3 linked regions of the Kluyveromyces lactis genome follow. The protein of the gene in region 3 interacts with the protein of the main gene of each other region in a pairwise test. Links are inferred from orthologs where the notes say so. Each region holds a gene or a part of one and is shown on either strand. Other genes may lie near its edges.

Region 1 (3,241 bases), on a different chromosome or scaffold from region 3:
AATAGTCATTATGTTATCTTTGCCACATCAAAGTCTACTCAAAAGTATAAGAATATTATTGCTAACCCATCTGTATCTCTTTTGATCCATGACTGGGTCACAGCAAAAAAACTATCTCTGAGGAAAACAAGTGTATCCAATACTCCAGTGCCAGATTCTAATGATTCTGAAGAACAACCAAGTAGGTTGCTCAACCTTTTGCAAGAGTTGAATCAATCTGAACTATCACAAATGTCAGCCACGCTATCAGGTACAGCGACAGTTATTGATCCATCATCTGAAGAATCCGACTACTATGAAAAGCAACTACTAAGAGTGAATCCAGATGCTAATTGTTATATCAAAGGTGATGACAACGTGATCATCAAGGTTAAGATATTGGATGCAAAGATATCTGATAGCGAAAACAGAACAAGCTACTATACCTGAAGGATTATTAATCAGGGTTATTTCGTGTTCTAATGCTAAAATCAGCTAGGATTATGACTCAGTTACGTTCTATGTATATGATTATTTATCTATATTGCCCATGAAAGCATTTTGAAACATCATTACTATTATCTTTTAATTGCTGCTGGAATTCGAACTAATTTCCCTCTTGACCAAAGTCTTTGGTGAACTCTTCCTGTTTGTGTATATCTTCTTCATTAACTGTTGGTCTTGACGTTTGTATAGCCTTTAGGAAATCTTTTACAGTTAAATCAGGCTCCTGAAGTTCATCAGCATCAATATCTGTCCATGACATTTCAATGGCTTCTGGATCGCCTGGCGAACATGGTGTTAGCTTCCGTACGTCTGGATCATCCGACGAATTCTTGAAATGTGTTGCCATTTGAATCTTTCTGACAGGTTCCATTAATGCGTCCTTGACAACCACGGCAATATCGGATCCTGAATAACCATCTGTCATCTCCCCTAGAGATCTGTAATCTTCTTTTGTTAATTTACATGGTGTATCACCAACGTTCAACTCAAACATTTTTGTTCTGCTCGCAAGGTCAGGTAGGGGAATATATATTCTTCTCTCAAATCTTCTTCTAATAGCACTATCCAACTGCCATGGGATATTAGTTGCTCCTAGAACTAAGACTCCACTGGAATCATTACCTACACCATTCATTTGAACCAAAAGTTCTGTTTTTATTCTTCTGCTTGCTTCACTCTCTCCCTCTCCTCTTTGCCCGGTCAATGCATCGACTTCATCGATAAAAATGATGGACGGCTTGTTCTCTCTTGCCATGGCAAATAGTTGTTTGACCAATCTTTCTGACTCACCCATCCATTTCGAAACCAAGTCACTGGAACTTATGCTGAAAAAGGTAGAGTTGGCTTCTGTGGCAACAGCTTTCGCTAAATAGGATTTACCAGTACCTGGTGGACCATATAACAAGATTCCAGTCGTAGGCTTACGTTTACCCTTAAAAAGATGTGGGAATTTCACTGGAAGAATCACAGCTTCCTTCAATGCTTCTTTAGCACCTTCTAAACCAGCGATATCCTCCCATTTAACGTTAGGCTTTTCTGTCAAGATCGCCCCTGATAAGGCTCCTCTTAGCTTTTTATCGTCTGCATCGTCCTCTGTATTGGAATTGCCACCTGAACCAGAAGCAGTGGCTGCCTTTTTTGGCTTTTCTTGTTTCTTCTGTTGTTCTGTTTCCAAATGCTCCTTTAATTGTTCTGCACGATTCAGATACTCAGTGAATTTTGCTCGAATTAAGTCCTTAGATTTGGGGTTCTTCTCATACTTTAATGCTAGCATCAAATAGTCTAATCCATTGTAATATGCGGTGTAAGCCTCGTCATATTGCGTAGCTGTGTCTAAATCAATGGCTTTTTGTATTAAATCAATTCCCTTTGTTAAAAAATCACCGGTGCTCATATCAATGTAAGTGCTGTGAGTAGTGAACACTAAATTGTAATCTTGAAGCCGTTCTACAATTTGAATGGCTATGGTATTTCGAAATCACTATGGAGCAGGAACAGAGGGGTAAACTGAGTCACGTATCAGTCGACACACATTTAAGGCAGTACGTATCTCTATTATAATAGGCTTTTTGCAATTACTTGGGAACATCAACATAAGAAAATGTATTTGACTATGCTTTATCAAATCACGTGATTAATTACAATGTCTAATGAAATGTTCATCTACAGCACTCTTCGGATACTAGCAGTCGTGATCCTAGATTGCTTATGAGAGAGATGCCCCAGTCATATAATAGAAGAGTCTCACACTAAATATCTTTTTGCCATTAACGTTAAATAAAATAGTATATTTGTATCGAGGAAGTACTAATTCTATTTAATTATTCTGTACATATTTATAAGATTTTATAACAGAGACATTAGTAGAGTGATCTTATTTTTTATCAACGTGTTGTTCGTGGATCTTGGCGTATCTACCGGAAGGATCTTCAGCACAACCCCAGTCAGCCTTTGGAATCCATCTCATGACAGTGGAAGCAGCGGTCTTTTGTGGGAACAAAGCATCGAACTTCAATCTGTACCAGTAGGCTTCCTTGGTAGTTGGAATATCGTCACCCCATTCAGCCTTTGGTTGAGCGAATTGTTCATCAGAGATAGTGCTTTCAGCTGCATCCTTTAGACCATCAATCCAAGAGTAACCGACACCGTCGGAGAATTGTTCCTTTTGTCTCCACAAGATTTCTTCTGGTAAGTATGGTTTCAAATCTGGTTCATCCGTGGTATCGAATGCCTTTCTTAGAATGTATTTTTCGATCTTACCTTCAGCTGGTTTGATCATCTTGTCGTTTGGATCAATGTTCATACATAGTTGTAGGAAGTCCCTGTCCAAGAATGGAACACGAGCTTCTAGACCCCAAGCCATGGTAGATTTGTTAGCACGCAAACAATCAGCCAAGTGCAAGTTCTTAACTCTCTTGACAGATTCGACGTGGAATTCAGCAGCTGATGGAGCTTGTGCGAAGTATAGATAACCACCAAAGATTTCATCGGAACCTTCACCGGACAAAACCATCTTAACACCTTGAGCCTTGATCTTACGAGAAAGCAAGAACATTGGGGTGGAAGCACGGATAGTAGTGACATCGTAAGTTTCTAAGTGGTAGATAACATCGTCCAAAGCGTCTAGACCTTCCTGTAAAGTGAAAGTATGTTCGTGATGGATAGAACCGATGAATGTAGCCACCTTACGAGCAGCTTGTAAATCTGGAGCGTTTGGCAAACCAACAGCGAATGAGTGCAATCTAGACCAGCCAGC
Region 2 (3,626 bases), on a different chromosome or scaffold from region 3:
GAATACAGCTGGTTTGATTCATCTTCTTCGTTAGGAAAGTCATTCCCATTCGTTTCCCTGATATCATCATTGTCATAGTCATCTCCATCGTAGAGTTGCACTACTGGCGTTTCGCTAGAAGTCTTGTATTTCTTTTCGATTTCTCTTTGTTCCACATCTGAATCGTCTGAATCGGTGTTCGCGGTGTATGTTAGAATATCTTCAGACATCTCAAATATGGTTCTGTTGGAAACCGAGCAAGTGGCATTCGAATGCTGAGTTTATTGCACCTTACCTCTTCTCATCTCATCTCATACTGAGACTTTTTTCTGTTTTGTTCTGAAATTTTTGTTGACATTTTACTGAGCTCATAATCAGTGCATCTAATAGCAAGGGAAACCAAAAGCTGTCGTCATCTTGAGAGAAAACTCAAAATCAAACCTACCGGGAACTATGCATGAATTATAGTTGTACATACTCCTTAGAAAATAATAAAAAACATTACATATAAACTGTCAGCTTTAACCTTATAATTGTATCCACAAAAAAAAATTATAAACAAAAAAAAGAGATTGCCGCCCCAAAACCATGTCATCAAGTATATGTGTCATAACATTGCAGAAAAAATTCGGAGTAATATTCTACTATAACGAGGCTATATCACAACCTGAGGATATTTTGATAGAGATATCTTGTTCGACGGAATTCTTCCTTCAATGACACATTCTTTGGAGTCACTAAATTCATCAAATGACGTAAAGCCTTGCTCTTCCTCTTCCTCTTTGAATTCATCTAACTCCTCCATAAGTTCGCATAACAAATAATCTTTAACTAACTTGACAGTTGAATAGGTTTCGTAGAATAATTCCAAGTCTTGCTCTTCTGAGGATAGATTTAACGAAGTGAATGACTCCTCCAAAGATACGTTGTCCTTTTCGGGGATATCTTCGTTAGCCTCAGCATCCAACAGCGCAGTTCTTTGGTGTAGGCTGTAATTATTCGAGTAGTGTTGAGGATAGAATGCTGATGATGATGAAGAAGGAGATGTTTGATGTGTATCAAACCTGTTGAATACGGACAATACCGGAGGTGGAGCTCCAACATTTGGCCTGGCTGAAATACTGGGCAACTTAGGGATTAGTGGGTATGATTGTGGTGCAGGTACCGGGTTAGGACCCAAGTTAGCGGTCGGTAGGTTATTGTTAGCATAGTTTCTAGACATATCCATGGATAAATTATTGAAGAATCCAACAGCGGATCTCAATTCAGCACCGTGACCCACGAGAGGACGTTGCTGGGTTTGGTAAGGAAGAACCATATGGTGCGATACCAAGTTCGGGGAAACTGCAGTGGACGAAGCAGAAGACGCAGAAGGAGGGGAAGTTGCGTTGTTGTTATTAACAGGTAACAGCAGGACGATGGCCATCTTTTCTGCCAATTGTTGAGAGTACACGGGTTGTTGAGTCTTCACCTCCTCGTGAATAAATTTATCCAAAGAAATAGATGGTAAAGTGAATCTCTGATGAGCACGGGATCTGTCATTTGAAATCTTTCCCAGCTTATTGGATGGCTTCGGACCACGTTTTTTTTTCAGTAGTGAAAGTTCTTCGTTATGTACCTTCAAATGTTTCTTTAAATCTTGAGGTCTTTTGAATTTTTTATTACAAGTGGAGCAAGCGAAAGGTTTTAATTGCACATGAACTCTCAAATGAGACGTGATATGGTCTCTTTTAACTGTTTTAGTCTGACAATCGCCCCATTGACAGTTCAGTTGCAAATTCTTCTGTGATTTACGGCCAACATGATCTTGGCAAAGATGATGATAAAGTAGTTCGGGAGAAGTGAACTCCAAACTACAGCCTTTCCATTGGCAGCGGTGCAAATGAACAGTATCTTCGTCAGAGCTAGAAGGCGTAGAGGCAGATCTCATACCAGTGGTGGAAAGGGGTGAAGACGCAACACATGCCTTTCCATGAGGGGAAGCCGGTCCGGTATGAATGTTAGCTAGAACCCCAGCTGAGGATTGACTCTCTTCGCAGCTACTACTGCTGTTGCTGCGAGGAGATGGATACGAGCGAGGAGACAAAGGACTGACAGCCTGCTCCTCCGAACCGTGATCGTGACTATCGTGATGACCATGGATATCGCGCAAATGACTACCTGAATCAGTGCCGGTACTGGCATTCAATAAGTGTGCGATAGGTGACATTTTATAGGAGAAAATGAATTGAATATATGGACTTCGTCAATGGCTTGACTGTTTATTTCTTAGCAATTTGCGGATTGAAGTGATTTGAATCAAGAGAAGAAAGAATCAAAAACTTGTGTACAGGATGAATATAGTTCAGTATATCAGCACTTCCACACCTAAGAAGCTTTAGAACAGCGGACAGTGCTTATTAAACCTACTTTCATTCGCTGTTGGGCTGCAGAACAATTATTGGGTGAGGACCATTTTAGCCTTGTATACAATTTTTGCTTTTTTATATTTTCATTCATAAAATCTATAGAAAAAACTTATAATAATGTTAAACGATTATCTCCCCCATATATCTTCGAAGTGTCAAAAGAATGTTCTTTATCTTCGCTGAGATTTGGTGTAAGTGAAGTTCCTGACAACATGCGCAATACAGATAAGTAATATTGTAGTTATGTATTAAGCACATAGAAGTAAAAGGTAACGAAGTTACAAATTGTATCGTTTTGTATTGAGTGATGTAGTTGAGTGACCTTTGAAGTAGGTTCTGCAGCGAGAGAGGGAACTAAAGAGACAACTGGACTTTGTTGAACGTAAAAGTGGTATGGCTTCTTTCCGGCCGAAAGTGGTGCGTGGAAAATTTCAGTAGTTACTGCAACAATGACTAAAAACGTGGAATGTATTTCTATGTGCACCCTAAAACAGTCCGGGTAATAACATGGATCTGCAAAGGTGAAGGAATGAGAAACAGAGAGGACGGGTGAGTCGAAAGGACGATTTTTTATGAGTAGATCAGATCTGAAAATAATTTCGTAGCATTCAGGTACTCAAGATAGTACTCGGAGTAAACGTTAAAACATGTGGTAGAAGTCTCTTGTATTTCACATACATATTTCATTATATGTATGTATTTGCACCTAATTTTCATAGTGTGAGTGTAACGATTATTAAAACTATATATTAAGGGAAACTGAAAAAGCGAGCAGTCAACAATTACGGAATATGCATAAATATGGAAGATGACATTTAAGTGTATTTAATAGATGTGATGAGAGAGGTAGTATTACGTTTTCAATTGTAGGTATTATTAGTGTAATAGCTTTTACATTTTTTTAGTTTTTAGTTGTATTTCTGTGTGTCTTAATGCGATGGTTGTAGGCGCACAATCATTCGTTGATTACTCTTAATACTTTTCTCGAATAGTCAACATCGTCAGCGAGTGATACTCTACTTCCGTTCGTTTCCCATTGCGACATTAAATGTTGTGGATCCAGCCTTTGGTCAAGGACAACAGGTTCTGATACTTCAGACTCGGGGGTATTAACGGGTTGCTGGGTGTTTGATGTCGGCGATTTAGGACTGGTTGTCGTCGTGTTCACAATACCCTTTTCATCTGTGTAAACAAAGGGTGCTGCACCACCACCACCGCCACTGCTATGTATTTGGGAAG
Region 3 (3,954 bases):
GAATTGTATGAATACTACAAACAGCACAATTATGGGCAAGAACAATGTGAAAATGGGGTCTGGCAAGTGATAGGATTCAAAGAGTTTTTGCCGTGGTTAGAAGAATCAAGCGAATGTGATCTCAATGAATGTGTTGAAAAGATGAAAGTTCGAACTAGACAATACGCAAAAAGGCAAGTGAAATGGATAAGAAAAATGTTGATACCAGATGTTGACGGCAAAGTCTATATTTTAAATGCAACAGACCTATTAGAGTGGGATGTGAGCGTTTCAGCTAGAGCTAATGCAATACTCTCAGATTTCACAAAAGGCAAAGACATTGAGGCTCCGTTAGCTCAGCCAGATTTAGAAAAATTGTTAGCATACAAGTCATCTAATAGTCCAAAAAGCGATATGGATTGGAAACAATTTTCCTGCAGTTTATGTAAAGATAAAGAAGATAAAAACCTAGTCGCAATTGGTTCGCGTAATTGGGAAATTCACTTGAAAAGTAGGCGGCACAAAACTAACATCAACAGGCAACATAAAAAGAAGTCGTATGAAAAATGGCAAAAGAAGAAGCTGCTGGAAATGGATAGCAGCTCTATCAACTCTCATTAGTGTCACATAGTAGGGTATCATTTAGTTCAGTTCTTTGCAGCTTACGTTCATTTACGTAATCTTCGATTTCTTTCAGTTTGGATTCTAATGCCGTAATTAAATCCTGATAAAATTGTTTGCCGGAAATGATATTTTCTTTTAACTCACTCAACACATTGGATGAATGTTTAAGTTCTTCCAAGTAAAGAGTACGTGGATCATTTCTGGAGATTTGAACCTGTTCTGGTGAGGATAGCGTTACTTTAGTCAGCATTTCTTTATTTTTAGCCTTTTCCTTTTGTACCTGCAGCAAATCGCCATCAAACATTCGGATATGTTCTTGAAAGACAGGTTCAAAATCTTTAGATCCTGTCTTTTTATAATATGATACAATTTTAGGAAGGAGACGGTTTTCAATTATCTTGCGTTCTGCCGCTAGTATGTGATTCTTTCTTCCTTGCAATATCAAGGATGCTTCTTTCATAATAGGGTCACTAGATTCAGGTGGTTGACTGACGTTGGTTACCAAATCATGATCCAAAGTCTTGAAAAGAGACGCTGTCTCTGTATCTACTTTCATACCATTTTCAATATAATTACGGATATTGGTTAAGTCTGCCAACAGACTCTCGATTTTCTTATCTTTAGAAGGAATCTTCCACCGCAGCAGGCCATGTTCTCGAATCATTTGCTCATTTTCTTGGATGTCCTTCTGTAAAATAGACTCAGATAATTTCAATTCACCTGCAACATATGCTCGCAATTGTTCAAGGTCTTGCAATGAGTCGCTGTATGAATTCCATTCCTGCTCTGATATGTAATATGATTTAAAGTCCATATATTGCGGTGTATTCGAGATCAAAAGTTTGTTCATTGATTCAAGGGGATTCGAGATATGCTCTTTTACGTATGTCTCCACCCTCTCATTGAAAGCGTTACAAGATTCCAATACATCAATCGGCAATAAGTTCTTGAATATATTGCCATCTTTTTTCTCAATCTCATCGAAAAGATCCGCTTGCACCATCATAACTGGTTTTACTTTGGAGGGATTTTGCACTGATGCCTGTAAATAAATAAGGTCATTATCTCTCTCTGCCGATTCAAGTAACGCTTGCACTTCTCCTCTCCATTCGGTAAGTTCATCATCCAAAGAAAGTTTGTTAATCCATGTCAATGCATATTGAAAATCACATATACCTTGAGCATAATTTTGTTTCTGTACCTGATGCAATCCAGATCTGTAGTATGCTATTGCCATGAAATAGTGGGACTTTGAGGTTAGACTTTTTACCCAATCAGTCCTGATATAAGGACTACAATTTGAATTCTTCGAAGCGGTTTGATAAAATAAAGCTACTTGCAAGGCCAATCGCGAAAGAATGGAGTGTCTTTCTATATCATCAAAGCATGCCTTTTTCCAAACCATTTGCTGCGCTTGTGCTAACATCATAGAAACGAGAGCATTCAGAGTGTATTCATCGAAGAATTTGAAGTTGTTACTGACTTCATGCTCATAGATAAATTTAAAACAACCCGCAGATAGTTTAAAAAGACGGCAGCTTTCCTTCAGACCTTCTGTGCTTTCTAACCGCTGCTCAACTGCAAGTGAAGAATACATAGCCCCAATATTGTATAACACATTAAATGTTTCAAACCGGAGACTGTTTCGTGTCATACCCGAAGACTTTAATCCGAGTGTATTAAACCAGGTGAATTCTACCTGGTCATCGGGAAGCTTGACAGCAATAGCTTTGAGAGCCATATAGTATTGTTTCAACATATTTAAGTCAGCTTGGCAAACGTCCAGATGGAATAAAACATCCCTATATTTGTCAAGTTGGGTTAAATCAGCCTCTACCGATGCCGCTGTTTGGTAAAAAGTGTTGTTTATTACAACGGTAAACGCATCTTTCAAATTAATTTGAAGGGCGCGCTTAAACGGTATAGCAAATATATCATTCATTATGGTCTTAGACTAACCTTTTGGCGAAATGTTTTCTCAACCAGAGATTTTGGGCTTGCTATCATACTATTGTTGATAAATGCATTTACTTTTTCATTTTTTAAATGTCTATACCTTAAAATACATATAATACATTAGACCATAAATAACCTACCTCTGGTAGAAGATGAGACCTCTATATCTTCATGAGCATCTCTGAAATCATCACCATGTTCCTCTGCATTTTCTACTGACGGTATTAATGTCCTGGAATTCGTGCTACTGATGGTATTCATTCTTAAGGAATAAGATCTTGCAAGATCTTGTTTTTCCATTCCAATAATGTCTTCTTCATCTGGGTCGGCAATTTTAATTTCATCGCCATCGTTCTTTAATTCATCTAATAGGAATGTTATGTTTGTGACTTTTGATTTCACCGATTGTGAACCACGTAACGTTTTTGTATTACTTTTATCTTTTTTAGAAGAGACCAAATTCTTCAAGTCTTTTACGTTCGGAACGGGATTATGTTTCAGAGATCTTGTAACGTATGTATCATTAGCTGGCGATGATTTTTTTATGCCAATGCCATTTGTAGTGGTTGGGGGTATGCTAATTTGTGGCAACGGGATTGGTGTTGAGTATCGAACCGTGTCCTGATCGATATCAGTACCATTTTGGTCAGAATGATCAACCAATAGAATGTCTCTACCCTTCTCTGAGTAGATATTGGAACCTGCATCTGAGTAGTAATTCAACAAGTCTTCCTTGGTGAAGATGTCATTGTCTTTTCTTTTAAACTCAACTTGAGTTTGGTAATCTGCTAGTCCTAGAAACTTTGAAGCATGATGATGATAGGCATAGTAACCGTCTGAAGGTCGATTGTTGTTGACATAGTAGGCCAAACCTGAAAGAAGAGAGGCTGCTTTATAATATGCAAAAGAGGTTGATATGGCAATTTCAGTATCTTGTTTTGATAAAGTAGATACTTTCTCAAAGAATCTGATAAAGATAACTTGATGTGGAGCTTCTGGATACAAAAGTTTTGATAACTGCGTTTTGTCAGTGACATATGGCAAAAACTCGCCAAATAAATCAAGATCTAGACATTGGTCACTAGTAACAGATATCAAGGAGTCCAAATCTAGCTGGAATAATTCAAGGTGATGTGGCTTTCCGCTTTCGATAAATTTAAAACTCAATTCGGCAAACATATCAGATGATTGCTGTTTGTAGTATGTTTTGCGATTTAAATCTTTAATCGTCACAGCAATCTGTTTAACTACAGTAGTTGAATCCGATTTTGCTAGCTGAACAGTGATTAGTCTTCTCAAGATATCAATCACTGATAAACCTATGATACTGACAGCTGAAGTTAATAGACTGGATATTAGTTTTAAGATCAATAACATGTTTTTCTCGGAGCTAGT

The links.
Region 1: the proteins of RIM20 (region 3) and VPS4 interact in a two-hybrid assay, tested with the Saccharomyces cerevisiae proteins (2 studies listed by BioGRID). The link is inferred for Kluyveromyces lactis from reciprocal best matches to the Saccharomyces cerevisiae genes RIM20 and VPS4.
Region 2: the proteins of RIM20 (region 3) and RIM101 interact in binary tests that used the Saccharomyces cerevisiae proteins (3 or more experiments, as listed by UniProt). The link is inferred for Kluyveromyces lactis from reciprocal best matches to the Saccharomyces cerevisiae genes RIM20 and RIM101.

The regions. Positions count from the first base shown.
Region 1 is NC_006038.1:948,752-951,992, forward strand, and holds VPS4 (AAA family ATPase VPS4), read right to left. Parts: upstream 1,880-3,241; coding exon 587-1,879; downstream 1-586. Other genes in the region: KLLA0_B10824g (pyridoxal 5'-phosphate synthase), read left to right, coding at 1-429; ASN1 (asparagine synthase (glutamine-hydrolyzing) 1), read right to left, coding at 2,360-3,241. UniProt on the Saccharomyces cerevisiae protein: Involved in the transport of biosynthetic membrane proteins from the prevacuolar/endosomal compartment to the vacuole. Required for multivesicular body (MVB) protein sorting.
Region 2 is NC_006041.1:79,078-82,703, reverse strand, and holds RIM101 (alkaline-responsive transcriptional regulator RIM101), read right to left. Parts: upstream 2,189-3,626; coding exon 635-2,188; downstream 1-634. Other genes in the region: GRC3 (polynucleotide 5'-hydroxyl-kinase), read right to left, coding at 1-209; WSC4 (Wsc4p), read right to left, coding at 3,343-3,626. UniProt on the Saccharomyces cerevisiae protein: Transcription factor that mediates regulation of both acid- and alkaline-expressed genes in response to ambient pH.
Region 3 is NC_006039.1:638,547-642,500, reverse strand, and holds RIM20 (Rim20p), read right to left. Parts: upstream 2,546-3,954; coding exon 587-2,545; downstream 1-586. Other genes in the region: MOD5 (tRNA dimethylallyltransferase), read left to right, coding at 1-600; EFR3 (Efr3p), read right to left, coding at 2,680-3,954. UniProt on the Saccharomyces cerevisiae protein: Required for the proteolytic cleavage of the transcriptional repressor RIM101 in response to alkaline ambient pH, which is necessary for sporulation and invasive growth.